4 linked regions of the Caenorhabditis elegans genome follow. The protein of the gene in region 3 interacts with the protein of the main gene of each other region in a pairwise test. Each region holds a gene or a part of one and is shown on either strand. Other genes may lie near its edges. The genes, in order: elt-7, npp-2, ifa-4 and npp-10.

Region 1 (6,128 bases), on a different chromosome or scaffold from region 3:
ACTTATCACTCGGGATACTCTATCTTTAGAACTTAAATAAATTTTTTGCAATATGCATTTGGATTTTTTTTTTCCAAAACACAAAAAGCCATATTTAAATAATTTCCTTTCATTTTGAGTGTTCTTTGTAATTTCTGCAGCCTTTCAAATTAAATTATTGTTCTCTAACAACAAAATATTTTTCTTAACCCACGTATTTCGAATCTTATTGGTACAATTCCACACAAAACCTGAGCAATAAAACATATTTCTCCTCACACAGCTTGGTGAATCTGCTGCGGTCACAAGTCACTAGTCCTTTTCCACAATTTCGTCATTCAGTGAGACTTCAATCATCATCTCCTCCCTATGGGACTCTTTTTTAGCCTTCTATTGTTGTACTCTCTGACCTCAACTTGGACATTTTTAGATATTAGGTTCTCCAGGAAGTCTTTGTAACTGAGTTTGCTTTTCCATAGCTCGCCGCAGTTGCACTTTGGTGTTCGACAACTTCGTGACAATTACGTGACAACTTCGTGACAATTACGTGACAACTTCGTGACAACTTCGTGGCAACTTCGTGACAACTTCGTGACAACTTCGAGACAACTTCGTGACAACTTCGTGACAACTTCGTGACAACATCGTGCCAACTTCGTGACAACTTCGTGACAACTTCGTGACAACTTCGTGGCAACTTCGTGACAACTTCGTGACAACTTCGTGACAACTTCGTGACAACTTCGTGACAACTTTGTGACAACTTTGTGACAACTTTGGGACAACTTCGTGACGCTGTAAAGCCAAACGTAGTGTTACCTTCTTTCGCGAGCCAAAAAAACGCGAAAGAGGGGCGGAGTCTGCACACTCGGCATTTATTAGAGGCTGCTTGGCAGAATATAGAAATTGATGGTTTCATCTGTCCCTGGTCTCATCGTTTCAATTTCTACATTAAAGCCCACTTTTGTATTAATATCCCACATATCACCAATTTCTCATCTTATCATAGAATCTTTCAACATTATTATTTGTAACAATATTTGTATAAGTAGTATCTCTAACGTTTTATTTAAGAAAAATAATAATGAAGTTGACATTACAAATGTTTGAATATGGTAATATCAGTGGAAAAGATGACATAGATATATAATCTTTTTTAAAAAACGAATACAAATCAGCGCATAGAACACGGTACAATTGATGTAGAGGGATACGTAATATGCTGGAAAAATGGCGATACAGTCCAAACTTGTCTATTCTTTTTTTGCTTGACGCCGCTTTCGAGTAGTTGGCTTCTGCTTGCAGAGGGATAACGGGCGTTTCACTTTGTTGTGACGGTAATACAAGTTGCAAGCACTGAAAATATTACTTTAATAGTGGAACTAATGATGTATATTTAACTAGTCATTAAAATTAATAAAATTTTAAATTCGAAATTCTAAAAAATAATCGAAAATTATAAGCAAGTTCAACTGAGAATTTTTGATTTGGAATGTAAATGTTCTAAATGTTCGAAAAAATTCAGGGGTAGGCGGCAAGTGCCATTCGGCAAATTTTTTTGTCAACAAATTTGGCAAATCGATAAATTGCCGGTTTGCCATTTTGCCGGAAATTTTCATTTCCGACAATTTGCCGATTTTTCGGAAATTGAATTGATGATTTTTGTTTTTAGAGGGATTTTTTATAAGACGGAAACATTTAAAACTGTGCATTTTTGAAATGTTTTCTCCGTTTTCTTTAGATATTTTCACAGAACTTGCTTACTTTTCAGAATAGATGTAGGAACATTCATAGGATGCGTACAATTTTGCCGATTAAAATTGAAATTCGGAAATTTCCAAAAAAAATGTGCAAAACCACAAATTGCCGAAAATTTTCGGCAAATTCGGAAAATCGACAAATTGCCGGTTTGCCGATTTGCCGACTTGCCAGAAAAACAATCGGTTGCCGCGCACACCTGGTAGAAATAATATAAAAGAATATAATAAAATATAAACTTACTTGCACTCAAGATTCCCTTCATCATTTTTACGCCAAAGTGTGGTTGTAGTTGTTGAGCAGTGTGAGCAGCACGCATCACGAATTACCTGAAAAATTTCATATAGAAATATTTATTTCATTCTAAACCCTCGAATCCTACTTTTGCAATTTTCTTTCCCTTCTGTGAACCAAATCGGTTTCCAGATGATTCGTAACTGCTATCTTGCTCCACAAAGGATTTTTGCTCATTTTCATTTTTCGTCAAGCTTTCATCAAAAATAATTCTGGAATCTTCAAGTGGTTGTAATGGAGTAGTACACATTGACGACTGAATTGGTTGTTCGTATGGAGATGGAATTTGATAACTCTGGAATGGATCAAAGTGATGAGTTGAAGCATCTTGCCAAGTATTGTAGTACACGGGCTGCGGTGGGTAGACATATGGACTGAAAAGTTGGAGTTTTTATTCTCTCAAGCTGAGCTGAGTTTGTAGTACATTTGTGGTGCAGGAGACTAGGCAAAAGATTTGTAAGCAGTTGGTAAAATTTGGCAGGAAAAGTTAAGCGGAAAGTTGTTAAAATTTGTCAGAAAGTTGCCAAAAGTTTTGCAAGAAGTTGCCAAAAGTTGGAAAAAAGTTGCCAAATGTTGTCAAAAAGTTGCCAGAGCTTGGCAGGACGATGCCAAAAGTTGGCAAAAAGTTGTTAAACTTTAAAAGAAAGCTATCAAAAGTTGGCAGAAAGTTGCAAAAAGTTGTCAGAAAATGTCCAAAGATTGACAGAAAGTTGCAAAAATTTTGCAAAAAGTGTTAACATTTGAAAGAAAGTTACGAAAGGTAGACAGAATTTTTTAACTGCTTTGTAGGAAATTGTTAAACTTTGAGAGAAAGTTGGAAATTACCTACAATTGCCAAACAGGAAACATGTTAAGTCATACACTTTAAGCCATTCCCAGCATGAAACTCGTTTTTCAGACTCTCAAATTATAATAATAAACCTTAAAAAATATAATAATTCTCAAAGATTCCTATTCTCAAAAACACTGAAAACTACTGATTATAAGCAGTATACTTTGGAGCATTCGATATTGATTTTTATCAGTTATGCTACATGAGTTCAATAAAACATAGTTTTGGTCACATGTTGGAACAAAGTTGTTGTTTTTGTATACATTACTACAGGAAAGTAATATTTTGGTAGTAATGTAAAAACCATATAATTCTGTTGATAGTGAATATTTCAATTTAAGTTTGCCGTAAAAATAATACAATTACATTATGCAACATTTTTATGCACTGCAATAAAACAGTTTTGATTTCAAAACTTACTTTTGATTATATTGAAATTGATTAAATAAATAATAGTCCTCCATTGGACTTCTCGCTGGCGGCTCATTCATGATAGTCGTAACAGATGGAAGTGGTTGAAGAGTAGTAGTTTCAGGGAGCATTTTTTCCAGTCGACTAGAGCAGACAACTCTAACCACAAATGTCTGTCTTTGTTACAGGCAGGAAAGTAACAAAGAGCCCGGAGAGATCCTAGAGAAAGAGACAAAAAAGGTCAGAGTGATAAGATAGACCGGCGGCGGTGGTGATGGGGAACTGTGTGTGGCTCACCACCCATCATTAGTAGTTTATGATATAATGACTATGAACCTGGACGGCAAAGTTCTTAAAGGGAAGGAGAACGAAAGTAAATATGACTTGGGACTTTTATGGATAGTCGTAAATTAGTGGTAAGTCAGAGATGCATGTACCTATGCCTTGTGTGCCAGTGGACGAGCAAAAAAAGGAAACATGGGAAAGAGGGGGGGGGGGTGCGGCAAATCTCAAAATTTGCAGAGTCCGGCAAAACCGGCAAATTTGACAAATTTGCCCTGGTCGGCGAACCCGGAAAATCTCGATATTTTAAAACTATTTTTTGGATCACAAAATTGACGAAAAAGCTTTAAAAGTGTAGCATTCTGGAAAAAAAATTTTTTTTAAAGATACTCACAAAATTTTGTGTTATTTCATTCATTTCTTTCTTCTAAACTCAAGGCAAATTTTAGAGTATTCCGAGCTTAACAAATGGCAAATTGGACAAATTTGTCGCGAATGGGAAATCTTGTTCCAAGTTGAAATGCTGTGTCCTGGAGGAAGTGTGCAATTATTTTTTTTTAAGTTGAAGTAATGTGCAAAAGGGGCATAAACTGATTGTGAGAGTGCATAGTGTTTATAATTTAATTCTTGTATTATCGGTAGCCTATTTCTAACGTGTTTTTTTTTAAAATACATATAATTTATTTAAAATGAATGCTTGAAAAATCAACATGGAATGTAGTTTTACGTAAACTGTATTTTTCTATTAAAAAAAGTGTAGATTTGGAAAAAGATAAGAATTCAGAACTGTGAGAGGCGATTTTAAATTCATTATTTTTATTCAAATTACTAGCATTCGCGGCTTCTCAACTAACCGACTAACCCCCAATGTGCGTCTCGAGACCAGGATTGAGTACAACTCGGAGGTAATATAAGGTATTAGAATTACGAGTTCTCAGTTAACCGCTACAGATCTCGACACGAAATTACTTACACCACACAAAATGAGGAATCTGCAGAAAATTGGTATAAGATGGCTAATTCGAATTTCCGATCGGCAGTGTTTGAGGTATGAATCCCGATTTTTATAATCGGAACTTTGTGCCTACAGTACCCGCATGTGTTTCAAAATTACCTCTACAGTTTATTTTTTCCACTTCTACGACTTTAAAGGAGGGCGCATTTATTCAAAATGGTCCCGCCACGCTCCACCCATTGGTCTCGCCACGCGCTTCAAAAATCAATGAATGGCGCGTGACGAGACCATTTTGAATGAATGCGCCCTCTTTTGAAGTCGTAGAAGTGGAAACAAATACACTGTACTTTTGCAATTTCGCTCAACTTTTCGCAATTAATAGCGCTAAAACTCCGGGTTTTTGAAAAAAAAAACCAAAAGTACGGGGAAATGGAGAAATATGTGCGCGGAAATACTGTACCTGGTCTCGGCACGATTGAAACCTTTCAGCTACCGTACACCACAAGTTTTCGTAATCGTCTATTTCTAGACTTTCACCAAATTCATAGCGCTAAAATGTGTTTTTAGTGAAAAATTGAGGAACATTTGCGGATACGATACCTAAAAAGACCCACTACCGTAACATAAACAAATATAATTTTCAGAACCGTGTCCACGTGTGGGCACTCCCACTGAGCTATTCTCAATCGAAATATGGTGGCCGGAAGACTCCCTCATCTGCTTGCACAATAATCACTGTCCAGATTGCTCACGATTTCTTGAGGTTTGTGAAATTTTAGTGCGATCGAAAAGTAAATCCATCTTTTAGCAAGAACGTCTGTATCCCACCCACGCATCCTTTGACACCTCAACATCTTCCACTTGGCGTCCTCGATGTTCTTATTAACGGAATTGTTGATGGCAATGAGACACACGAAAAGGCTATGGCAGCTCGACGACGAGGATTCAGTGGAAGTCTAAAAAAGAAGCATCTTGAAGAGACAGGGGAAAGTGGTTCAGTCTTCCAATTTTTGAAGAAACCACATCGAGACACGTTCACTGTGCCAGAAGCTATTCAAGTTCAGCGGCCCGAGATGCATGAGATTGACTACCCATGCTATTCTGGAGACTTTATTAGCAATCTCGTGACAGCTATGTCGATGGCTGTAAACAGTCCGTATCTCTCGAAACTCGATAGATTGGCAATTGGAGTGCTTGCTTTCGAAAGGGCCATGTGTTTTATCTACGATCGCCCGACAAATTCAATAATTCTTCTCGACACTCATATGCATTTTAAAGGACAAGCTGGAAGTGTTCTCTGTGTTGCATCGTTTGAAGATATTACGGATTTCATCGTTTCGGTAACTAAGCTCGTGTTCCATGAAGTTTTCAAAACTGCAGATGTCACCGGTGTAAGTTCCAACTTTTCTCATTTCTAGGTTATACTTTAACTTTTTACAGCAGTTCGAAATTACATGCCTGATGCTTACAAGTCTGATGAACAAAGTCCACAGAGGAGACATCTTTCTTCCAGTCAAATCGAGCATGCCAAGAGTCATACCAGTAAAACCTTTGAGGCCCTTTAGAATCAAAACGAGGTTAGTTTAGAGGAATGGTGAAGGTTTAATCGAATCATTT
Region 2 (6,367 bases), on a different chromosome or scaffold from region 3:
TTCATTTTTTATTCAAAAAGTTTAATTGGTATACTGAAATGAAAAGATTTACTCGATTGCCGAGATTTTAAAGATTTTTTAAATTAGAATTTCGGATTTTCAAATATTTAGCTTAATATATATCCTCTGACATACTTTGGAACGAATTGAGTGACTGGTCTGCGTGGACGCAGATCAGGATGAACAAAGAAGAGCATATGTGGGAATCCGGTGCCAAAATAGCTTCCATCAGTATGTTGATGACGTGATGATCGTGGAACGAAAACATCATTGCAACGTGGACAGTACAATTTCACCATAGCCTCGCCAGGAACATCAGACAATCCTGGAAAAATTGGAATTTTACAGAAATTTTAGTGTAAAAACAAATATTTGTTTTAAATTTTATTGGAAATGCACTTTTAAATTAGGAAAATTTAGTACTTTATAGTTTCACTTTTCTCAAAAAAAATTATCCGCAACCAATGAAGTAGCGATTTTTTTATAACTCACCAATTGGAAGCATTGGCTGATTTTCACAGTAGACACGTGGGCAAACTCCAAAGTCATGATCACGCCACTTTTCGACCATCTGTGAGATTCCTCTATTCGTAAGAATATATCTAGCGTGAATGAGTCCATAAAGCATTTCAGCGGCTTGTTCAACAAGATCAGTGTTCGTTGCGTTATCCTCTATGTCATCTTCTAGAAAAAGGTTACATTGCGGGGGCACATGAAGTCAGCAAAAATATCACCTGGTTCTAAGTCAAGAATCATGTCAAGAGCCTGTCGATACTTGGGCACTTGCTCATTGAGACCTGTCAAATTGAACCGATCCTGAATATATTCCTCGTCGACTTCACAGAAAAACTCATTTCCACGAAGGCCACAGAACCATGTGATCCATGATACCTGAACAAAAAAAAAGATTCGAAACTAAAAATAAATTTCACCAATCGACCATAAAACTTGTTATTAAATTCATAGTTTAAAATATAAATCATTAAAAAAAACGGCTATTTAGATTTTTCTGATTGTTTTCCGCAGAAAATAGAAATATAATACAAACCTCCTCCGAACTACTCATGACTTCTGATCCAGACAAACTAGCGCTTTGTTCTGACTGCGAACCAGACTCTGCCTGTAATCAAAAGAAATTTTTTTTTGATAATATTTTAATGATAACTCACCGAAGTGGAATCGAGTTGGCGCCAGCGAGCAGAAGCCGTGGCGTTCACGTCGATGACTGGCCGAGTTGCGCGCAAAGCACACAACTGCCTGAAATTATGGGTACAGGTTGGGTGAAATGGTTCAGAATTATTGAAAAAAGCAGAAGAAAATCAATAGATCACAGTCATGTGCGCCCACATAAATTCATAAACTCCAGCAGTTTTCTGTCGAAACAGAAAAAAGAGGACGAGGGAGCTGACGAGGCCTTGTGGACGTGCAATGGGGCACGGTTGCATAGCACATAGGTCACTATCGATCTCTGGGGAAAACTCGAAAAGAAGGTAGGTTGGCCTCGAAATTCAACGAGTTTGTGTGGAAAACCAAGTAATAGTAAAAAAATTAAGAGATGTGATCCTTATTCACATACAAAAAATTAAATTTTCTGAGATCCCAGAACAAAAAAGAACATCGGCAAATGTAAATAAAATAAAATTAATTCATAAATTATTCAAGAGCACGCAATTCCTTTCGCAATCGAGTCTGTCAACTTGAGCATTACCATCTTTTTGAGCACTTTCACCTGTAACAATTTATAATTATATGATCATAAAAATGTCTATAAAACTTACCTTTTTCATATAATTATCATTCAAATCTCGATGTTTATCAAGCGTAAACGTTGACAAAAAGGTTGAGAGCTCATAGAGAATCTCCTTGGAAAATCGGATTCCAGCACGCCCATCCTCTTTGATAATCGTGATTAAATAATCGAAGAGATCATAGTAATACTGAGTTGGAACATCAGGCATCATAATAAGCGGTATCAGATGTTGAACACAGTCCAGTACATCACCACAGTGCATCATCTTCACAAATCGTTGATAAGAGTAGAGGAAGGTAAGAGATGGAAGTGAGAGTACAGAATGATTGGTTATTGAAGATAAAACTCTTAATGCAGCCAATTCATCCTTCGAACTTGAACCAACAATTCGAGATACTGTCCAGTCAATTGTCTTTTTGGATCCAGTTTTCAACGCCCAAGCGAGTGTTGAACTCCAATGTCCTTGCTTCAGATACCGGAAAGTCATTGTATTTGTCACACAACTTTTCGCGTCTTCCAGTCGATGCTCTTCACATATTTCCAGCAACTGCTCAGCCATCTCATCATCCTCAATGTGAAGCCCTTCGATGTGTGTTTCGAGACGTAGAAGTCCTTCGGTACCACACGCAATAAGATATCCGGCTCCGATTTCCCACAGACTATAAAAAATTTGTGAAGTTATATTTTAAAATGTTTTTTCAGTAATTAGAAATTTCAAAAACTAACGGAGAATGAGAGATAAGAACACTGGCGTAGTCCAACATGTGCATTTTCCTCATCACTTCAAACTCGGGATCCAATGTGGATTTGTGAATAAGATCAACCAGGTGAACTGCGAGCCAGGGATTCGAGGCAATCAACTGAAATTTTATTCAGTAAAATTAATTAATTCTTATTTAAAACAATCTAGAATTTATTTTGAAGAAAATTGTTAAATATTCTTGAACATTATTTTGATTTTTTTTTATTGGGATAAAATTGAATGAAATGTTCTGTCGCCGTTTAATTAATCGTGAAAGAAATAGTGAGCCTATTTTCAAGAGATATTTATATTTAATTTAATTTCTTGAATAAAAACAAGAACCTGTTGAAAGTTAATATCATCCTTCGAAATAAGACACCAGAATACATCATTTTCCTTTGCACCCTCCTCTTCCTCTTCTCCAACGAATAGTGTTCTACACTCATCAGCTAGCTCAATGAGCTCGACATGTCCGGCGAATGGATTCTTGACAAGCACAAAGAATGGCAGAAAATGCCACCACGTGTCGAAAATCCGTGAAGCCATAGATACGAGGTATCGTTCCTCACCGAGTAGGAGCTTCGTAAGATATTTGAAATTTTCGTTGCTCCCGTACTTCCCACTTGTCAAATTTTCACGCATGATATCCTTCCATTCATTTACTGTGTTAGCCTGAAATAAGAATATTACGAAGTTTAAGAATTATTATATAAATGGGTCTTACTAATGCTTCGTCGACTAAGTTTTCGGGATTGAAGAATGTGAGAGCCTCAATGAATGCATCACATTCTGATCCGCCTCCATGTAGCTCCAACAGTTCAACACAATCGCTGAAATTGCAACTAAGCAAGCTGACTGCTACTCCCTTCCAATATTCTTCTGGAATCGTCTTCCCCGGATGCAGATATTCCACAGCTGATTCCATGGCTCCTCTAGAAAACGTGAAGCTCTGATTGGCCCATGAAATAAGATCCGCACATATCGAGCTATCACCTCTTCCAAACCATAATTTCTCGTAAAGTGACCACAAAGCAAAGTCTGTCATGAAGTCGGAACTGCTGTGAGACACGGCGGCATTGTAGAGAACTGAACGATAAGCTCGAGAGAATGTGCAGCAAGTAGGCGTGTCTAGAGGTGCATCAGGTGAGGAGCCTTTTTGACATTTATCAAATACAGAATACATTTCGATAACAAGTCGTCTGAGATTTGGTGTCGCAAGAATTTGTCGATTTTGTGAAACTTTCTCGACCAAGACTGTTTCTGAAAAATCTCTTATGTTGGAAACTGAAGAAGATGCAATTTTTACCTTTATTTGAAAATCCTTTTTTATCTGTTAGGAAGGCGAAGACCGTGGAGGAGTCGCTGACAGCTATCCCGAATTCTCGAGCGACATCCGTCATCTGAAAGAGATACTAATGTCATGTGAAGTGGTATTAAAAATATAGTAAGCACGGTAGAAACATTAACTTATAAAATTGAGATTTCTGATAAATAAAATTTTTCCGGGAGTTCTGTAAAACTTCTTACGGTTTTAACTTGATAATTCCATAGGGTTTAAAATTTCCTTTTGTTTCTTGAGTTTCTTCTCGGAATTTGAACAAAAATAACGCGTTTAATCTCGAATCAGTACAATGATGGACTACACGGCAGTTTTAAAAAACCAATTAATAATAATAATCCTAAAAAATGAGAAGAATATTTAAGAAAATGTAAAAGTTTTCCGCGGAATTCCGCTAAAATTCGAAAATTGAAAGTGTTCAAATTGCAAGCGATTGTGCATTCAGACGTGACAGTGTCTGGGGTGTATTGCGTACTCGACATTTTAACTGACGACACTTGTACTTTTGCGCCATACTTCCGGAGCTCCAGCTCCGCGGAGCCCTGAGCAATTATTTTTTTACTTTTTATGAAAAGCTTTCTATAGATATCTTTTAAGAAGTTACACTATAATTGTGCAAATCAAACTGGCTCCGGACAACACAAATTTCGTCTATACCTTTATGATCTTTTTTTGTTAAACAAGTGAAACAATTATTTCCTTTTCAAACTGCTCTTGTTTCTTCTCTTTATTAATCAATTTTTTTTTTTTTGCTTTGTGTAAATTAATTGTTTGTCGCGGATGAGCTAATTCTGAGGTTTGACCAGCAGAAATCTGTTTTCTGAAAAATCAATAACTCGCCGCTTAATTTTGGTTTTATTCAAGTGATATGCAATTAGAAGGTTCTAATCATTTATATCTCGCTGAAAGATCTCAGATTTCAAGCCTTTTGCTAAGGATTTAATTCCTAAAACTTTTTTTGACCTATCATTTTTTGTGTGATCTACCGCTGTAAATACTTGTTGTTTTGCGGCTAAACTCTTTCAATGTTTCCAACAAGTGAGCCAATATCAAGTAAAAAAAGAAAAATCGTTTTCTATTCAACCATTTTATTCTGTAAATAATATTAAATTCATCTTCACGGTACAATCTTCTTCTCCCATCTAATAAAGTCCACGCACACTCCGTTCCGTCGTTTCCCTATTCGTTATCATTCATCATCTTGCCATTTTCTTCTCCGCCAAATCCCATTGTCTTATACTAAATTTCATCCTCTCGTCTGTAGAAGTGTATATTATTGAAAAATTAAAGTATATTTTCAGGATGAATGGGGATGTGCAGTCAGTCATTCGCGGATATCTGGAGCGAGCCCAAGTCGCGAAAACAATGTCCGATGCCGGACGATGGAATGAGGCTGGTGATCTTCTTCGTCAGCTCATGACAGATGTCAAAAGCTGTAAAATTTCGGCAAGCAACAGAGACGAGCATGACGCAAGAAATGTACGTAATATAAATCTTTTAAAAGCTTGTTGAATTATTTGAAATTTCAGACATTCCTACGAGCCCTAGAGGCTAATTTGAAGCTTGTCCAACAAAATGTGCGCGATGAAGATGACCTACACGAGGCGATGACGCGACAAAGTGGAAGTCCAGAGCCACCTGCAGACCCAGATGTTTGGTCCAAACCATCGCCACCGTTACCATCCTCATCGAAATTTGGAGCAACAAAGAAAGGAGTTGGAGCAGCAGGTCCACGTCCCAGAGAAATATCAAAGTCAACGTCGTCGATGAGCACGAATCCGGCTGATGTGAAGCCTGCGAATCCAACACAAGGAATACTGCCTCAAAATAGTGCTGGAGATTCATTCGATGCATCGGCTTATGATGCGGTAAGTTATTATGTTTTCCAGAAACAAAAATCAGAAATCTTTTCAGTACATTGTTCAAGCGGTGCGTGGTACAATGGCTACAAATACGGAAAATACAATGTCTTTAGATGATATAATCGGAATGCACGACGTGAAGCAAGTTCTGCACGAAGCCGTCACTCTTCCACTCTTGGTGCCAGAATTCTTCCAGGGTCTCCGTTCACCATGGAAAGCAATGGTTCTCGCTGGACCACCTGGAACTGGAAAGACTCTTATCGCACGTGCGATTGCTTCAGAGTCTAGTTCAACTTTTTTTACCGTTTCCTCGACTGATCTGTCCAGCAAGTGGCGTGGTGATTCCGAGAAGATTGTTCGTCTGTTATTCGAACTTGCACGGTTCTATGCTCCATCCATAATCTTCATCGATGAGATTGACACACTTGGTGGACAACGTGGAAATTCTGGAGAACACGAAGCGAGTCGGCGTGTTAAATCCGAGTTTCTGGTACAAATGGACGGGTCACAGAATAAATTCGATTCGCGACGTGTATTCGTGCTGGCCGCCACAAATATTCCATGGGAGCTCGATGAGGCACTCCGAAGACGTTTCGAAAAGCGAATCTTCATTCCACTGCCAGATATAGATGCAAGAAAGAAGCTTATCGAAAAATCAATGGAAGGAACTCCGA
Region 3 (7,784 bases):
ATAGGTACAAATGATACATCATTATCGCCTTCAACCTACGCGTTCCATGAATAATTATGCAGAACGACAACAACAAAGGGAGTCGTATTGCAATATGTGTATTGGTACACTGTAATCCGCACGTTGAGCGCACCGAAACGGCTTAGTCAGTTCTTATGAAAAATATTCAGAATACAAAATACATAACCTGTTTTTACGTTCCGAACCGATACCCCTGAATAGGATATGAACTGTAATCAGTTTACGGGCGCGGTTTAACTTTTCAAGAAATGTTAGCATCTGTCCCGAAAAACTGTCATACTCTTTATTAGAAGCGAAACGCTGAATTTTCACATTATATATGGATTCGCAAAGTTTCCAGTTGTTATTTATGTGTTTTTAATACGTTGCAGACGACGTAGTTTATCCCCAAGCTTATTGTCTACATAGATCAAAAACTTGCGTTGCTTTGTATTTGAGTATATAGAATGAAATCACTAGTACTGTAACTTTCCTAAACCTTCTCGTGCACTTTTTATAATTGAAAATTTGACAAAAGGCTAAATTTCGCTAAAATTCTCCAACTTATACGTGTTTTAGGACATTAGGTTTTATTGAATTATTAATAATTTAGCATATTTGCAACGCATACCTGTGTTTAATTAAATATCAATTGAAAACATACCTTACTAATTAAAAATTAGATTAATTATAATGATAGATAAAAATTAGAAAAATTAGATAATTGAAAATTAAAAAATAATTAGTTGACATAAAAACGCGTTATGATTAACCAAAATGCACCAGAAGAATTAAGCAATTTAGTCAACGTTCTTGGAAAATACAACAAAAAATACCACTTTTATTATGAATTTCGGTCTTGTGCCATTTTATACGGATAGTTTGCGATGTGGCGTTGCTCATTTTACAAAAATTGCAAAATTGCCAGTGTAAGTAGAAAATACCAATTAAAAGCTAAAGACGCATTAAGAAATAATTTCCATTTCAAATAAACGTTGTTGAATTAGTAATACGTGTGTTGTTAGTTTAATTTTCATTTAAATCTCACCAAAATTCAATTTTTACTATTTCACCTGCGTGCAATTTTTGACTCATATGCACTACCCAACAAATATGTTATTTCCCTACCTCCCCCTCCCGCAATTGTAAAGCAAAAAAGTAAAAAAATGTTTAAAAAGAGACTCTCAAAATGCAAATGTTTGTTTTGATACCCGCTATCAATCCGCCCTTTTCGCCCATTTTTTCTTCTCTCCCTGATTTTACAGGCCGAGTTTCGTTTGTGTACATGAAGGCAACAGCTCCGCCTCCGTGTTATTTTGCATATATATTTCAGGCAACACCTACGGTTTGTTTGTCCGACACGGTCTCCTTAAAAGGGAGTACTGTAACTGAGCTTTTTTAAAAATGACACTGGTTCTATTTTTCCAATGCAACCTTCCTTTTAAACGTTAGTATAATACTTAAAAACAAAAAAGGAAAGTTTGTTTTTTTTTCTAGTTTCTTAATTAATAAAGTTCGCATGTACTGAAAAAATGACTCTTTTCCTGATGATAATGCAATTTATTTTATACAAATCATAAGTTTCATTAATCAACAGACATCTTAGCATTATGTTTCAGAACATTTTATGTAGATTTGAATTTTAAGGGAAGTTTTAATTTTAAATTCCGTTTTAAAGAAGACCGTTTGCCGTGAGTTTTTTTTTCAGTGTTGTTTTTATTTTAAATGTTTAACTTCAATTTTTTGGCAGTTTTAAAATGAACTTGTATACAAACAATTTCATTAATAATTGTTATTTTGGCTGTACAAGTAAATCACGAACCATAATCAAAGGCTGACTTGTAAGATGTCGGCCGATTTATCTAAGAACGAGATCGCGGGGTGCAGATTTGAAACAATCTGAACCTGTAGACAATATAATCAGCTAAATTTTATTTATTGAACTTTTTCCCAACGCTAATAGTTTCTGAGATAGACACAATCAAATAAATTTCAGAATTATAGATTAAGACCCTTTTGAACATTGAATTTTTAACAAGTCGTAAACATTTCACCTAAATTTTAGAACACGCAGTTTCGATGCTCTGAACTTATTTTTGTCAATTTGTATTCCCATTATCCTCCCCTTATCGCATACTAAAAATTTTTCCATTTTTCGATTTTAGTTTTGACGTGCTTATCTTTTGTCATCCCTTCACAACCAAAACAATTCAGAATAATATAAGGTGTTTACGATCCTTTAATACTCATGAATATGGAAACGTTGTGAAACAGTAGCATTGTGTATAAACACGCCATGACGGCAGCTAGCATCTAGTAATCGGTCACCGAATCGCCGTCGCCACCGCCGTCCGCTTTTGAATAGCGGTCAGTGCGCGTTCGTCAATAGCTCGATGAACCGTTACACTCTCCCAGTTTTTAGTTTCTGTTTCATTTTCTGTTTCATGCCTGGTTTTTTCCTTCTATAATTTGACTATACAGACAATTAGGAGTAAACCCTCCTAGGCATCCTCTTTCCACGCATGCCAAGTCCCGTCAAAATAAATAGTGCGCGCGCCAATTTGTAACACGGTTTTTTGTTCTGTCAAGAGTTAGGGCTCTCGAAACAGCTAATAGATCTCGCGCATTGTCATTGTGTCCTACAAACGATCCATCTCTAATCTGTGTCATATTCACTCATATTCTTGTCACATATGTATAACGTCATTTACTATGAGGTAACTTTTCTACACTTTTTCATCGAAAAATAGTTCGCTGTGTTTTTTTTTTAATTTTCGATTATGAAAATGCAATTAATTGAAAACTATTTAAGTTTCCATGTTTGTAGGAAATGTCGGAGAGCGAATACCGAAGCTCAATTTCGGTTCGACCAACGTTTAACAGAACAATGCAATCCACCGCCACCTATGGAAGTACTATTTGTGAGTTTTCAGATGAATATTTTGAATATGAGCAGTACTTTGTCTTTAAAATTGTATTATATGATGTATTATATGATTTATATTAAAATTAAACCCTCCAAATGTTTTAATTTATGTTTTACAATATTCAATTGGCAATATGCCAAACGTTCAAACAACAACCCTGACCTTTTGAGAAGTTTTGAACATTTTTGCTGATCTGAACTTTCAAAATGTACAAATAAAATCAATTAAAATTCAATTAAAAGAAAAAACTTGTGGAATGTTTTATTGTCTCACTACCAAAATTATGATTGGTGAAAAATGATTAAGTGAACTTTTTTGACTGTAAAGTTAAAAATAAAAATTTAAAAAGTGTTAAAAAATTATTAACATTAATGAATTGATTCCTCTGGAAAACCTACAAATTTTTTTTGTTTTATGGTCATGTTTGTCAAGTGTTATTTTTCAGTTCTGATACACGTTTAAAAACTACTTCAAACTACAAAAACTGACTTCCAAAAATTCAAATTTCAGCTTCTGGAACTAGCCGCACACTCAAGATCACAGAGATCGGTGGATCTAATCTAACATCAGGCATGTCTCCATTCGGAGGCCATGCCGCCTCTGCCATTCGTGAATCTCGTACTCGCGAGAAAAAAGAAATGAGTGAACTCAATGACCGCCTGGCGAGCTACATTGAGAAAGTTCGATTCTTGGAGGCTCAAAATCGCAAGATGGAGAAGGACTTGAATTTGCTCCGTGGAAAATGGGGACACGATTCTACAAGTGTTAAAGTTATGTATGAGACTGAGCTCAGAGTAAGTGAATGAATATTATATACAGCAAAATCTGAGAAACTTTAAATTCTGTTCAGAGTGCGAAAGACCTGATCGCCGATTCTGACAAAGAAAGAGCTCAGCTAGAAGATCAAATTAAGAAACTTGTTGAAGAGCTGAACAACTATAGAAACAAACTTCATGAGGCTGAAAGAGGTGCTGACGTTACACGTAAAGAGCTTGACAATGTGCTCGGAAGACTTGGAGCATTGGAAGCCGAGATTGAGCTATTGAAAAGAAGAATTTCTCTGATGGAAGAAAGCATCGGTCATTTGAAGCGCGAAAATCATCGTATGATCGACTCACTTCATCATGCCAGAAATGTAAGTTTCAGTAGAAAACTTAATTTATATGTACAGCTTTCAGGCTGTGGAACAAGAAACTCTGAACCGCATCGATTATCAAAATCAAGTGCAGACACTACTGGAGGAGTGTGATTTCATTCGCAGAATTCATGATTCGGTATGAAAAACAATTAGTACAGCTTTCAACGAGTGTCTTTTTCAGGAAATCCACGATCTTCTCGCTATGGCATCTCGTGATACTACGGTGGAAAACCGCGAATATTTCAAGAATGAGTTATCCTCTGCTATTCGTGAGATCAGAAGCGAATATGATCATGTGAGAAAAGTCATTAAAAGAGGTAAAAAATAGAGACTTGAATTACAGGTGAGCAACACTACCCGTACTGACATCGAGTCTTGGTACAAGCTGAAGGTTCAAGAAATTCACACTCAAAATTCTCGCAACTGCTTGGAGCAGAATTATGCTCGCGAGGAAGTTAAGAGACTCCGCACAACACTTGGTGATATGCGTGGAAAGATGGCGGATCTAGAAGGAAGAGTTCGTTTTGATGACTATATACATCTGATATTATTTGTCAACATTTCAGAATCTTCTCCTCGAAAAACAAATCGAAGACCTCAACTACCAGATGGAAGAGGATATGAGATCATATGAACAATCACTGAACGATAAGGACACATCGATCAACAAACTTCGTGACGAGAGCAAGATCCTGATGGTTGAGCTTCAAATGCTCATTGATACAAAACAGACTCTCGATGCTGAAATTGTGATCTACCGTAAGATGCTTGATGGAGAAGAGAATCGCGCAGGTCTACGTCAGCTCGTCGAGCAGGTTGTTAAGACAACATCTATTCATCAAACCAAGGAAATTGGTAGGTTCGCGTATACTCAATGTTTACTTCACGTTACGATGACCACAAATTACGGTTAAAATTTAAAGTATACGTCCACTGATAACTTGTTTCAAGTTTTCAAGTCATGCGGTCACCAAACTGTGTAACGTAACTTTATTATTGTTTTCCGCCCAGAGAGACCGCTGGGTGTGTCCCCTTGTTGATATACCTTGGTCAATTTAGTACTCCTATTTAATCGCTTTACTTTTGATTTGGAACAGCATTGTTTCATCTTTAACCCAAAAAAGTAACATGCCAGAAATTCATTGTTCTCAATACGAGACTATCACTTTTGACGACGTTCCCCATACCCATTACCTTGTCGGTGATAAAATTCGCAGAAAGCCGCACGGTAAGATTAATAGGAGTAATAGGTGTCACGAGGCATTGTTAGTTGCAAATTTATATCAGTTTTTGTGTTTTGTTGCAGAGAGTCTTCGAGTTCTCAAAGGTGAAACGACTAGTCATTCGTCGTATTCCAGATCAGCAAAAGGAAATATTGCAATTCAGGTGAGTGGAAATTACATCCCAAAAATTGATGTATATTCTGAAAAAAACAATTATAGCAAAATTTTGAAAGCAATCATGGACATTTTTTGAGCGAGTTTTTGCCTGCAATTTCCACTGAACACTTCAGAAAATGACTATTCTTCAAAATGGCCGTGCACAAAATTTAGAAATATGTGCCTGGTGTGACGATTTTGCATGATCCGACATTAACCGGGTTCGCTGCTCACTCAGAACCTAGTCCTGTGCAAAACCAAATATATGTCGGATCATGCTGAACAAAAACTTTCCTTAAAGTGGCCGTGCCCAAATTTCTGAAAACAGTGTTTTCGATTTTTCATTTTTGCAAGAAAAAAATCCACCATTTTCAGGAAGCCGAGCCATCTGGAAAGTACATTGTACTGGAGAACATCTCAAGACGTGATGAGAACATCGGAGACTGGAAACTCCGTCGGAAGATTGCCGGAAAACGCGAAATCGTGTTCACCTTCCCGCGCGAGTTCACCCTTCGTGCTCAAAAGAGCGTGAAAATTTTCGCACGTGGGCAGGGAGTTCATTCCCCACCCGATAGTCTTGTGTACGACCTCGAAGACTCGTTCGGCACCGGAAACGACGTCGTTACTACTCTCTACAACAAAGAAGGAGAGGTAAGCGTCAATAAATTATGCGCGCTGGAACTGACTGGAAACGTTATTTATCTTGTTTCAGGACCGTGCTTCCCACAGCCAACGTGCTTCACACACCTAATTGCATCAACCAATTAAATCCTATTGAACCCGGAATTACTCTCGCTTGCCTCAACTCTCTACTTTTAATGTTTGATCGAATCTTGACCCAAGATACATTTGTTCTCACCGTTAGCCATTCCTATAAATGTTCGGATTTTCAGAATAAACCAATACTGTTTTGAACCGCCAAAGTGAAACATTGATTTTCGTTTCATATCATACGAAAAGCCTTTCATTTTTTGGCTAACTCTCTAACATTTCCATTGCTTTACCATGTGCTTTTTCCATCAATTAACATTTGTAAACTATAAACTGCTTATTTTATTTCTGATCAGTTTGCTTGGTTATTTTTTTGGGAACTTTTTGTTGGACAACTGGGGGAATAGAAATGGGTAAATGCACAGGGAAAGTAAGGAGAAATGACATATAGAAACAAATACAGAAAAAAGTGATTCGTGGGAAAATGTAAACTTTCCAGAGTCTGATGATTGAATAATGCGGTAAGGAATGAAGCCAATTCTTGAGTGGGGGTTTGTGAGAGGGAAAAACTTGAAATAACTGAAGTGGGATAAAGCCGATAGCTTGACACGTGGATCGACAAAAATACACAGATAACATGAACGCTAAAATTTTGAAAGTAAGGAGCTCAGGCAATGACAGTTAGTGGGGTGGAGGTCCCTGAACATCCCAAGTCGAAAGATGTCTCCAAGACTTCTGAATTCTCATCTCCATTCTCATCTTGCTTCTTGAACTCGGCCAACTTCTTCATCAAGTCTTTTTCGGTTTCTTCGACGCGCAAGATGTCACTGAAATTTAAAAAAACAATTAAACAAACAGTTCTTCTAAAGTGCATTTCGTTTGTCAATTTTGTGGTCCAAGTTGCAGAATTTTGAATACATTTGGTCGACGTGACGTCCTTGATAAGGCAATCAGCCGAACACTCTCAATGTCAATAGATAAAGGACGACGTGGTCACAATCACGTGGATCGATATGATCATCATAATTTCCGGGGTCTCTTTTGTCTGGCATAGTTCAAAGTTCAAAGATCTTACCTTCTAGTCTTGTTGATTGCTTCTTTTGTAGCTGCTAGCGAAGCCTTCAGCTTGTGCGATTTCTTGAGCTCAAGTTGGTATTGTTGCGGCCAGTTTGCAGCGATCATCGGCTTCAGAATTGCTCGCAAATTTTTCTGTTGCTTAAGCAGTTGACGAAGCTCTTCCTCCTGCACAAGATACTCGGCGACTTCTTGTTGATTCATCGTTTCCGACAACTTTTTCACGTCGGCTCTGAAATTTCTTCAATTGGGAGTAAGGCACAACCAATCAGATCACCAAAGACTCACCTTTTGAAACAATCAAAATCGTCTTTCTGTGGGATAGTGGCGGCGCCCATCGTGATATTCTTTTTCTCCATGACTGACATGTAGTCTGAAATGAGATTATATACTAGAAGACATGGTCGGATGACGATGAACTATCCGGTCAGGTCGCGTGGGCGGTCTTTCATACTATTTTCAACCAAAAACCGGAGGAGGATGTGAGATAGTGTGACACAAAATTTGCAACACTGCTAGATTTCTAAAAATATAGTTGCCGAATTCAAATTGACG
Region 4 (9,595 bases), on a different chromosome or scaffold from region 3:
AGAGTTCATGATCAAGACCAGAAGACGCAAGGGTTTGTCTGAAGATGTCTCCGTTAACAAGTTCTTCGATGATCCGATGCTTCTCGAACTTGCAAAGCAGCAAGATTATACTGGATTCTAAATTGCGATTTCCTAACTTATTTTCTCATTGTTTCACACTTTTTATCTTTCAGTGTTCTTTCCCGTTTCATTGAGTTGTTTGATCACAATAGTAAAATGAAAATTCTTGTTTATCTATCTATCAAATGATATTCAGAGCAGGGACCAAAATTGAATTCTCTTAGTTTCGTCAAACAAGCTGAATGTCCGTTGAAGGTATTACTCTTGGACAACTTTTTTGAAAAAAAAAAAACTGAAGATCAACATAAGCCTACGCTTAATTTTAAGTCTAAGCATAAGCTATAACCGAATTGGAGGCCCCACGAAAAGGGGAGCAGAACGAAAAGGGGATCTGCAAAAAGGGGATCTGCGAAAAGGGGAGCAACGAAAAGGGGAGCTGGCACTGTGCCAAACGCACAAAACGCAATTTTTCTCACGCAGCGCACGTTGATTTTTGAAATTTTCTTCTAGAAGATACGCTTAACAACACGCGACGCGTAACATCGGAGCATCGTTGTATCGTTTTCTTCGAGGAAAATAGCGTTTGGCACAGTGCCAGATCCCCTTTTCGTTGCTCCCCTTTTCGTATCTCCCCTTTTCGCAGATCCCCTTTTTGCAGATCCCCTTTTCGTTCTGCTCCCCTTTTCGTGGGGCCTCCCGAATTGCTCTACCTCGTAAAACGAAGCGAACCACTCCAATTAAGAAACGATCATTCCTACTGGCTAAATCCGCCAGACTGAATTATTCAAGAAAACTTTCCATTTATTTAGCAACTTTTATCAAGATGTACTAGATTAACATCATCGCGTGGTCGGAAATTGAATTTTAAATTAAATTCGAGTACTCAATTTATCGTTTTGCTGATTTCTAAATTTCTGTACTAGTTTTCTCATGTGAATAGAACACAACAGTAATAACATCCTACAAAAAGTTCATATTCATAGTAATAAAAAGACGATTCGGGAAATGATGATATACGAGGAAGACAGACGGAGAGGGCAGGAAAATGTAAATAAAAAAAATAAAATTAGAATCAGGTGAAAAATGAATAAATTAAAAAGTGGCTAGTCTAGTCAAATTCAATTGTGAATCTTTCGATTCCCCAAGACGAACGATCACGGAAGATCTTAAACATTTGCCGATGTCCGAGAAGCTTTGTCCACTCTGGAAGTGTATTCTTATCAGCACGGTACTCGAACAAAACACGTCCAATTGTTTGAAGAGAGAGCCTGAAATTATATAAATAGTTTTAAAAAAAACTTATGTCCCAATAGCTTACTTTTGAAGACTGTTCTTGCTGATTGTAGGAGCATGTAGACGAGTTTCCAGACTTTCAAGCACGTCCTGTAAGAGTTCTTCTTCCGCATCATTTTCGATCAAATTGATCAATCGGCAATAATCAGTGTAGACCATTCCAGTCGCACCCCACTCGGGAATCTGATTTTCGAAAGGACGAACCATCGCGCATGCTGCTTTGAGAGCGTCATGATCTCCAGCTACAACTGCAGTTGGTGCAATATCATCCACAAATAAGCGACAAATTTCCAGATAGTTCTTTGCAGCCACAGCCAATTCGAAAAGTTGGGTAGAATCATCGACTGACTTTGCAATTGAGAATTGAGCATCAGCAATCCATTCCGAAGGAATATCGAACTGTTCGGAAATAGAATCAAACATATCATTGTCGGTGAAACGAGCAATACGGTCGAGGAGGGAACGAACTGCTGTTGATCTTCTGGATAAATATATTTATAAATTGAAAGATTCTAAAATTCAACTCACTCTTCATCATCATCAATGTGCTGCAAAACAAACAATGCATATTTTGAGAGACTTGATGCTTCCAATTGAGATGAATAGTTTCTGTGAAGTCTTGTTTCCGAAGTCTTTGACATTGTACGGTATCCAACCGAATAGAGCAAGCTCCATACGTGCCATTGAAGGAAATAATCGTTGGGATTTTCTCCAGCTGCACAGTCAAGTACAACTTCCACTGAGTGCTGTGATTCACATGCCAATTTGATGAGTTCTCCGGGCAGATCTCCACGATTAGAAGCGGCACGGCCAGCATTGACATCTTTCTGATAAGCATCGTAAGATTCTTCTAGACCAGTCCATGCACGAAGATACCAGACATGCAAACCGAGTGCTTGAATCCAATTGAGTCCATCAAGACAGTTGATCGAATGATTCTTTCCGTCTTGATCCCATTCGTAGTGTGATAGTCCTGACATCAGAACATAGCATTTGAGAGTTTCCTTCGGAATCAAATGAAGAGTTTCGCATTTCTTCCAGTTGTCAAGTTGTGCTTTAAAGCAATGAACAGTAGCTTCTGGGCACACAGCAGAAGTCTGAAGCATCGTAGCAAGCTGTGGCTGATTATTATCAATCGCAATTTGAAAAGCTTTATCGATGTCTCCAAGACAGAGTTGATTCCAAACACCATTTGAAGATGTATCCGCACTTCTATCGTCTGGAACAGACTTCACTGCTTCTGTTCTAAGCCATTCTCCAATTTCTTCACCACGCTCGAAAGACCATCCTTCTCGACGTTCATATGGGAATAGAGCAGATATCAACTTCCAAACAGAAACATGTCCATCATATCCACCAGCTTGAGCGACATCGATGTACTTGGCAAACATGGATGAATATGAGTCAGAATAAGTGACGAAGTTAGAAGTGAGCGAAGATTTAACCGAGTTGGATTGTGAAGATGGACCCTTGCGACTGGTTTCAGATACATGAACATTCACATCAAGCATTGAGATTAGCGTGTTCTGAAAATTGATTAAATTAAAAATGGGCCATAGAAGAGAACGGTGTAAAAAAGTACTTAGAAATCCAATTGACAAATAGACTGTAAATCACAGAAGGGCTTTTATAAAGTCACAAATATTACCTCATTCACGTCCGATGTTCTATCAATTGTCCCAAAGAGTACTTGATTGTGTCGGGGTTGAGCTGACCACACAAGACATCCAGTTTCACTCCATCCGACATGTGAACTTCTTCCCTTCACAATTCCTATATCAATCAGTTTGCTCTTTCCATATCCAATCATTTTAGCAGAGTGTCCACCACCGTGGAACCGATGAGCTGGGTCGTTGGCCTTCGGCATGACTTTCAGTTCCTGGAGATTGCGAATGAATCGACTGCTTTCGTATTCCAAATCAGCGAGAAGTTCAAGTTTCGGCTTCTTTTCCGGCTGCTGACCTTCTTCAATAATTGAATCATGACCACTTTCATTGAATTCGGTGGTCATATTTCCGATGCATGATTCTTCTCGACTATCATCCAATGTTCCACCACCAAGACCTTTTCGGTTAACACGACGAATGATCGGCACAACATCACCTAATGCAGCAGGTGCCGGAACTCGTTCCAGAATTATCTGAAACAAATAACTGCTGATGGCTCTCCATATTAAACCCTAAACGGTCTGTCTACCAATACCATTTGAAGAGGCTAATTTTAAAAACAAATTTATTGAGTTAGAAAAGAATAAACGAGAATAATTTGAGTCTTTAGCCTGCCCTAGATGGTATTGGCAAGCAGTCATGTGAAATGCTAAGAATGAAAGCAGAAAATTTTTAAATGAAACAGCAAAACGTTTAGAAGGAAAATTAAAATACGGTGATGATTGAATTATAGTGAGTGACAATCATTCAAAACGGACCTCTTGATGGTGAGCATCCGTTGCCTTGTGCACCTTCTTTCTTTGCACTTGATTGTTCACGTCTCGAGCAGATGTATTCATGTCGATCTGGAAAACTATTTGTGTAAAAGGGTAAAATGAGTTTTAAAAATTTACCACTTGTAATGGAGAAGATGCCTGTAGTGCTTGCTGTGGAGGGGACCCATCCATTGGCTCATCATCGTCGGCCAATCCATACTTGCTGAAATGGTCCACACGGAAGACCCAGCTTCCAGTTTCTGCACGAAAATCTTTGAATGCGGCTCCCATCCGAATCGTTTGTCTCTCGAGATGCTCGCGCCAACCAATCTCGGAGAGTTTCACGACATCTCGCACTTCTTTCTTGGTCTTCTTATCAGTGTACCATACTCTTTCGAGTGTCACTTCTGCTGGCCTATTCAGTTCTTGACCTTCTGGAGCTTTCTCTTCTTCATTCGGATAAACCGTCACCTCGCGATGACGAAATACAACAATCTCGTCGAGAGCAACATCTTTCAGCTCGACTCGTCCTGGCCAGTAGACACTTCCGTACGACGATCTTCCAACTGTCAATCCATCCTCCAACACAACACGTCCGTTCTTGATCATGTTCTTCATCTCATTGATTGTCGGAAGAGAAAAGTAGTCGGGCTTTGTAAGCTTCACTCCTGCTGCCGAATTGACATTAACAGTTTCTTCAGAAGGCGTCGACACAACAGATGCTGCTGAACTAGTTGCAGCAGACACCGGCTCCAAGCCAGTGTGCTCATCGCATGTCGTATCCAAGTTCAACGATGGTGGATCTCTATTTCTGTCATTATGTCTCTGGATTACAGCCTGAACGGGGTCAACTGCTGGAGTGGAAGTGACAACGTCTTGACGTCTTTCGGATTCAGAGATTCGAGGAAGAGCATCTGGATCAGCTACACGGGATTCTCTTCCAACTCTCGAAGAATCTGCGAGCAGAGACATGTCCAACTGCTTCAAATTCGATCTTCTCACGGATCCACGAACTCCAAGACGATTTGAAGTTCCATTCATGGAAGCATCCAGAGCTGAGTCGATAGTTTTGTCGAGGGCACTTGATTCGTGAACACTTCGATTTGTCAGCGACATATTCGGATTGAATGTGCTGTTTCGAAGTCCGCGAGCAAGTGATGGTGGCGCTTCTTTGGAAGTGTAGTTCAAATCTTTGGTGACATCGGCTGACCTGGTAACTGCTGGAGAAAGATCACTCATCACTTTGCTGATTGGTGGAATGATAAACGACGAATCTTGTGCATCAGAAGACGATGACAGAGCGCCTTTCTTCGCAGCAAGGAATCTCAGCTGTCGTTGAGTACTAGCCGGCGAAGACTTCCCATCAATTTCTGGATTCGCATTGTATTTGAGTAGTGGTGAATCACCATACGGCGCATTTGTCAACTGCGACTTCAATGACTTCATGTTTGCTTGCATCTGGAGGACATCAGCCGTAACGCCAATCACAGGTACCGGGGCCACTTGTTGTTGCATTACAATTTGCGGTTGAGCAAGATTTCCGAATCCAGTATTCAACGGCTGTGTAGCTTGAGTGTTTGAACCAAACAGTCCTCCTGAAGAAGCTTGTGGCTGGGAACCAAAGAGACCGCCGCCTGTTCCAGTATTCGTCGTATTTCCGAACAAACCACCTGGCTTTGCTGCATTGTTTCCAAACAATCCACCTCCGGTATTTGTGGAACCGAAGGCATTTGTAGTTGTTGGCTGAGTGGCTCCAAATGTGAAGCCGGTACTTGTTGCAGGCTTCGCACCAAATAACGAACTGCCAGTATTGGCTGTCGAAGTATTTCCGAAGAGACTTCCACCGGTGTTTGCAGCAGCCGGCTGACCGAAAGCATTTGTCGCCTGAAAATTAATAAAATATTGAAATTCTAGGATATCTTAACTCACCGCTGGGGCACCTCCGAAACTGAATCCACTCGATTGTTGCTGTGGTTGTTGCTGAGCTTGGCCGAAGAGTCCGGTACCAGTCGTCCCCGTGTTGCCGAACAGGGACCCAGATTGATTTTGATTCTGTGTATTCCCGAACAACGATCCACCAGTATTCGTCTGTGGTTGTTGATTGCCGAAAAGAGACGATCCAGTTGTCTGACCGAATGTTGAAGCTCCTGTTGTAGCTAAGTTTAAGGTTAAAAATTGTGTTGATGCTAGATTTATTCTTACCTGTAGATCCGAACAGTGACGAGCCCGCTGGTTTAGCTCCGAAAAGAGATCCACTTGCAGCAGACGTGTTGGCGTTGTTGTTACCGAACAATGAACTTCCAGTGTTTGCTGTGCTCGTGTTCCCACCAAATGGAGATGACGTCGAAGCTCCCCCGAACAGAGAAGTCTTCTGTTGAGCATTACTTGATCCAAAAAGCCCACTGCTTCCAGCTTGGTTTGTTGTGTTGGATGCTCCAAAAAGCCCACCGCCAGTGGAAGTCGTTCCTGTTCCGGGAGCCTTTCTATTTGCAATGTAATCCTCCACTCGGAGCTCTTCAATACTCTTTCCATCGTACTTCGACATTGCAGAAATGCACATGTGCTTCGTGGAAATTGTCTGAGTTGTCCCATTTCTCATCATAGTATCAGAACTGATCGGTGGCTCAAACTTAACAGTGGTTCCAGATACGGTCGATGCTGAAGCTGATACAAGATTAATTTATTTATCGAAAATCAATTGTTTACCTCCAAAGAGACCTCCACCAGATGGTGCATTATTATTGGAACCAAAAATGCTGCTGGTTCCAGTATTGTTAGCGTTGTTACCGAATAGGGAACTGCTTGCGGGAGCTGCTGAAGAAGTTGACCCAAAGATACTTCTGTTGGCATTGTTCTGCCCTCCACCGAACAATGAACTCTGGTTGTTCTGAGGCTGCTGCGGACTTCCTAAAATATTAAAATAAATCAAACGCATACAATTATTGATCAAAATACCGAATATGCTGGAAGTGTTGCTGGCCGCTCCGAAGATTGATCCTGCCGGCTTGTTCTGTGCCGCCCCGAAAAGGCCAGTAGTTCCACTGTTATTGGCTGGCTGACCAAACAATCCTTTGTTTTGATTGTTCTGGTTGTTTTGTCCAAATAGACCGCTCCCAGAGCTGCCACCGCCAAAACTCGATGAGCCGAATGATTTGTTCTGGCCGAACATTTAGCTGAAACTTGCAATTGATGAGACGGTTATAGATGAAGCGATGAGCAAGTAATAATTTGCAGTGAATGAAAGGCGGTTGTCATGAACATTCTGCTAAGAGCTGTCACAAGTTTTCATACAACCAAAAAGATAGCATTTACTTGAAAATGTACTTTAGGATTTCCAAATCGGAATTACTCTACACTCAAATTGCACGCTAATGCGACTAGACGGACATTGATTGATTGATCAGGTTACAGGTACATATTTATGACTGAAAATGTGCAAGAATAACACAAAAAATGGGAGAACAACTTCTACAACCAAACTCGAGATGAAAAAATGAGCGAAATGATTTCGAATGCAAAAATTTTTTCGAAGTGATTCTGAAATCGCAACAGAGCGAGTTTGCATTATACACCCTGCGTCTCTTAAGTTCACACACTGTCTCACTGCGCGAGGGTTTTTGACAGTTCTCGACAAGTCTTTTATTTTTTCCCGCAATTCGTGTTTTTTCGTGGGGTTTATTGGAATAAACTGTTTTCCATAATCGTTCTAAAGTCGGTCTCCACTGAAAAACTTTTACAAATGCTTTTCTTTTCAAATAAATTGATTTTTACATTTTTTCTTTCAGATTCGGCAAGAAAATCTGGTTCAGATGCTCAAATGCCATAATCCGAAATGGGTAACACGTTAACTGGACGTTCGAACGCTATCGCACCGATTATCAGTGCGGAAGATGCTAAAACTTATAGTGAGTTTCAGGGATGTTACAAAACAAACATAAACTCAAATTTTTAGTATCGGACGAGGAGTATCGACGAATTCGCCAAGCTTTCCAACGCTTCAAAAATGGATGCATTAATTATGACGTAACTGTTTTTAATTATTTTTTTAACTTCACCATTTAAGGAATTCTGCTATCATGTTCTCGGAGGCGCGCAGATACCAGAAGAAAAACGACGCCTGCTGTTCAGCTTCTTCTCTCATGGCGCTGAAACCATTTCCTTTGACAATTTGCTTTCATCTCTTGTTGGATTGTGTAGAGTAGAAGAAGTACAATCGAGTCAGTCAAGAAACATTTCAGAAATAATATTAAATTATTTATTTTCAGGGTTTATCGAAGAATATCACGAGTTCGCGTCATGGGGATTGAGTCCTCCTAAGCTTACGATTCCGCTCAATGATTCCTATATCTCATTTTACGAAGTGATGTCTTATGTGACGCATTGTAAGATTTAAATTATCTTGATTTCCGTATTTCAAAAACCATTTTTCAGTATCCGTGAACGAGGTTATCGAGTTAGAGAAAGTGTTCGCCACGATCAGTGATCGAGCTGTCTGCAAACTGAATGAAGAGAAGTGGAAACAAGCATTGGGTGGATGCTTCCCGGATAGTTATGCTGAGAGATTATTCGCTGTTTTCGATGAGAATCGAGATGGTCAAATTGACTTCAGAGAGCTCGTTTGTACACTTTCGGCTCTTTGTCGTGGACCTCTACCAGGGAGAATTTCTCGTGAGTTTTTAAGAAATTATTTTGAGAAACTAAAAAGTTGTTTTAGAGTTGGCACGAATCTGGGACGTCGACTGTGACAAACTTCTGTCTGACGAAGAACTTTCTAACATGTACAAAGATCTTAATGTCCCAGAAGAACATCAGACTGTCACAAAATCATCGAATGGGAAATCTGCTCTCGTTGATTTTGGAATATGGGCACAGGAAAACGAAAAATATGTCAATGAATATTATTCTATGGCTCTTCAAATCGGACACATTTGTCTCGGATTGAGACCAGAGTCACGGAAAATGGAATTACAAATTGTGAAGTTAGTGTAGCTTTCAATTCTCAGTTTAAATAACTTTGAATTTCAGCGAATTTGAAAAACGTGCCTCTGAGCTTCCACTTTCCGAGTGGAACATTGTAGCTTCAGGATGGCATGCTGAGCTCAGATCCTTCCTGGAAGCAGATAAAAATCCGAATCCAATCGATAATTCTGGTATCAAGGGAACAAGAGAAGATAGCTGGACCAGCAAGGTTTGACTTTCTAGTCCGGAAAAGTAAAGAATTAATTAATTTTCAGGTTGCTTGCATTTCAGCTGAATCAGCTCGTCTGAAACCCGATCTTATTCCATCTGACTACATCCGAGTGCCTGTTCCACTTTGGAGAGCATGGCTCCGATGGCACGGATGTGCACTGACAGTAGATTCACAATTCACAAGAAAGTATCTGGATGGTGAATTCTTTGAAGACAACAAGCCCGCTCTTGAACTGTATCCACTCGAAATTCTCCTTCTGGGCCATGATCGTAAGAAGAGCCAGGATGGTACAGAAAACACTCCAAGATCCTTGACATCCTGGGCGTGTGCTCAAGTATCACGAAGTATGACTGTGGATGAGCTTCTCGCGCTGTGCAAGACAGAACTTCGACTCGGAGATGGAGACGCAAGGCTTTGGCAAGTTGTGAAGGAGAATGAAGAAGGAAATGTACTTTTGGACGATGGAGCACAAAATCTACATCAATTATACTCGTCACTAGGGAAAACGAAAAAAGTGAATAAAATGAAGCTTTTACTGGAAGTACGAGAAAGAGGAACAGGAGTGTGGCCAGAAGAATTACGAGCATCTCTTTCCGGGAAACAAATCACTGCTGCTTCTACTTTATCCT

The links.
Region 1: the proteins of ifa-4 (region 3) and elt-7 interact in a two-hybrid assay, tested with the Caenorhabditis elegans proteins (one large-scale study listed by BioGRID).
Region 2: the proteins of ifa-4 (region 3) and npp-2 interact in a two-hybrid assay, tested with the Caenorhabditis elegans proteins (one large-scale study listed by BioGRID).
Region 4: the proteins of ifa-4 (region 3) and npp-10 interact in a two-hybrid assay, tested with the Caenorhabditis elegans proteins (one large-scale study listed by BioGRID).

Annotation. Positions count from the first base shown.
Region 1 is NC_003283.11:4,767,991-4,774,118, reverse strand, and holds elt-7 (Transcription factor elt-7), read right to left. Parts: upstream 3,450-6,128; 5' UTR 3,406-3,449; coding exon 3,284-3,405; intron 2,406-3,283; coding exon 2,120-2,405; intron 2,067-2,119; coding exon 1,981-2,066; intron 1,336-1,980; coding exon 1,233-1,335; 3' UTR 1,033-1,232; downstream 1-1,032. Other genes in the region: C18G1.9 (FERM domain-containing protein), read left to right, coding at 4,424-4,461, 4,508-4,604, 5,156-5,274, 5,320-5,902, 5,952-6,088. UniProt on the Caenorhabditis elegans protein: Transcriptional activator that binds to the consensus sequence 5'-[AT]GATA[AG]-3'.
Region 2 is NC_003279.8:8,289,749-8,296,115, forward strand, and holds npp-2 (Nuclear pore complex protein Nup85), read right to left. Parts: upstream 3,893-6,367; coding exon 3,799-3,892; intron 3,753-3,798; coding exon 3,217-3,752; intron 3,165-3,216; coding exon 2,835-3,164; intron 2,611-2,834; coding exon 2,477-2,610; intron 2,410-2,476; coding exon 1,779-2,409; intron 1,730-1,778; coding exon 1,658-1,729; 3' UTR 1,551-1,657; downstream 1-1,550. Other genes in the region: kin-10 (Casein kinase II subunit beta), read right to left, coding at 136-325, 493-684, 735-891, 1,049-1,066; Meiotic spindle formation protein mei-1, read left to right, coding at 5,134-5,310, 5,361-5,699, 5,746-6,367.
Region 3 is NC_003284.9:4,911,023-4,918,806, reverse strand, and holds ifa-4 (Intermediate filament protein ifa-4), read left to right. Parts: upstream 1-2,827; 5' UTR 2,828-2,830; coding exon 2,831-2,921; intron 2,922-3,437; coding exon 3,438-3,721; intron 3,722-3,777; coding exon 3,778-4,062; intron 4,063-4,105; coding exon 4,106-4,201; intron 4,202-4,246; coding exon 4,247-4,360; intron 4,361-4,408; coding exon 4,409-4,582; intron 4,583-4,631; coding exon 4,632-4,920; intron 4,921-5,371; coding exon 5,372-5,451; intron 5,452-5,819; coding exon 5,820-6,095; intron 6,096-6,156; coding exon 6,157-6,195; 3' UTR 6,196-6,499; downstream 6,500-7,784. Other genes in the region: K05B2.2 (Ras-associating domain-containing protein), read right to left, coding at 6,823-6,982, 7,231-7,461, 7,518-7,602.
Region 4 is NC_003281.10:6,012,605-6,022,199, forward strand, and holds npp-10 (Nuclear pore complex protein Nup98), read right to left. Parts: upstream 6,959-9,595; 5' UTR 6,945-6,958; coding exon 6,731-6,944; intron 6,683-6,730; coding exon 6,482-6,682; intron 6,440-6,481; coding exon of another isoform or gene 6,434-6,439; coding exon 5,978-6,433; intron 5,932-5,977; coding exon 5,705-5,931; intron 5,660-5,704; coding exon 3,914-5,659; intron 3,866-3,913; coding exon 3,779-3,865; coding exon of another isoform or gene 3,764-3,778; exon of another isoform or gene 3,569-3,763; intron 3,494-3,568; coding exon 3,002-3,493; intron 2,880-3,001; coding exon 1,882-2,879; intron 1,835-1,881; coding exon 1,379-1,834; intron 1,329-1,378; coding exon 1,169-1,328; 3' UTR 843-1,168; downstream 1-842. Other genes in the region: eftu-2 (Tr-type G domain-containing protein), read left to right, coding at 1-121; Ubiquitin carboxyl-terminal hydrolase cyk-3, read left to right, coding at 7,608-7,680, 7,728-7,798, 7,839-7,992, 8,041-8,157, 8,207-8,443, 8,490-8,754, 8,801-8,963, 9,010-9,595. UniProt on the Caenorhabditis elegans protein: Nup98 and Nup96 play a role in the bidirectional transport across the nucleoporin complex (NPC). Required for the nuclear import of hcp-4 during mitotic prophase, this step is essential for centrosome assembly and resolution.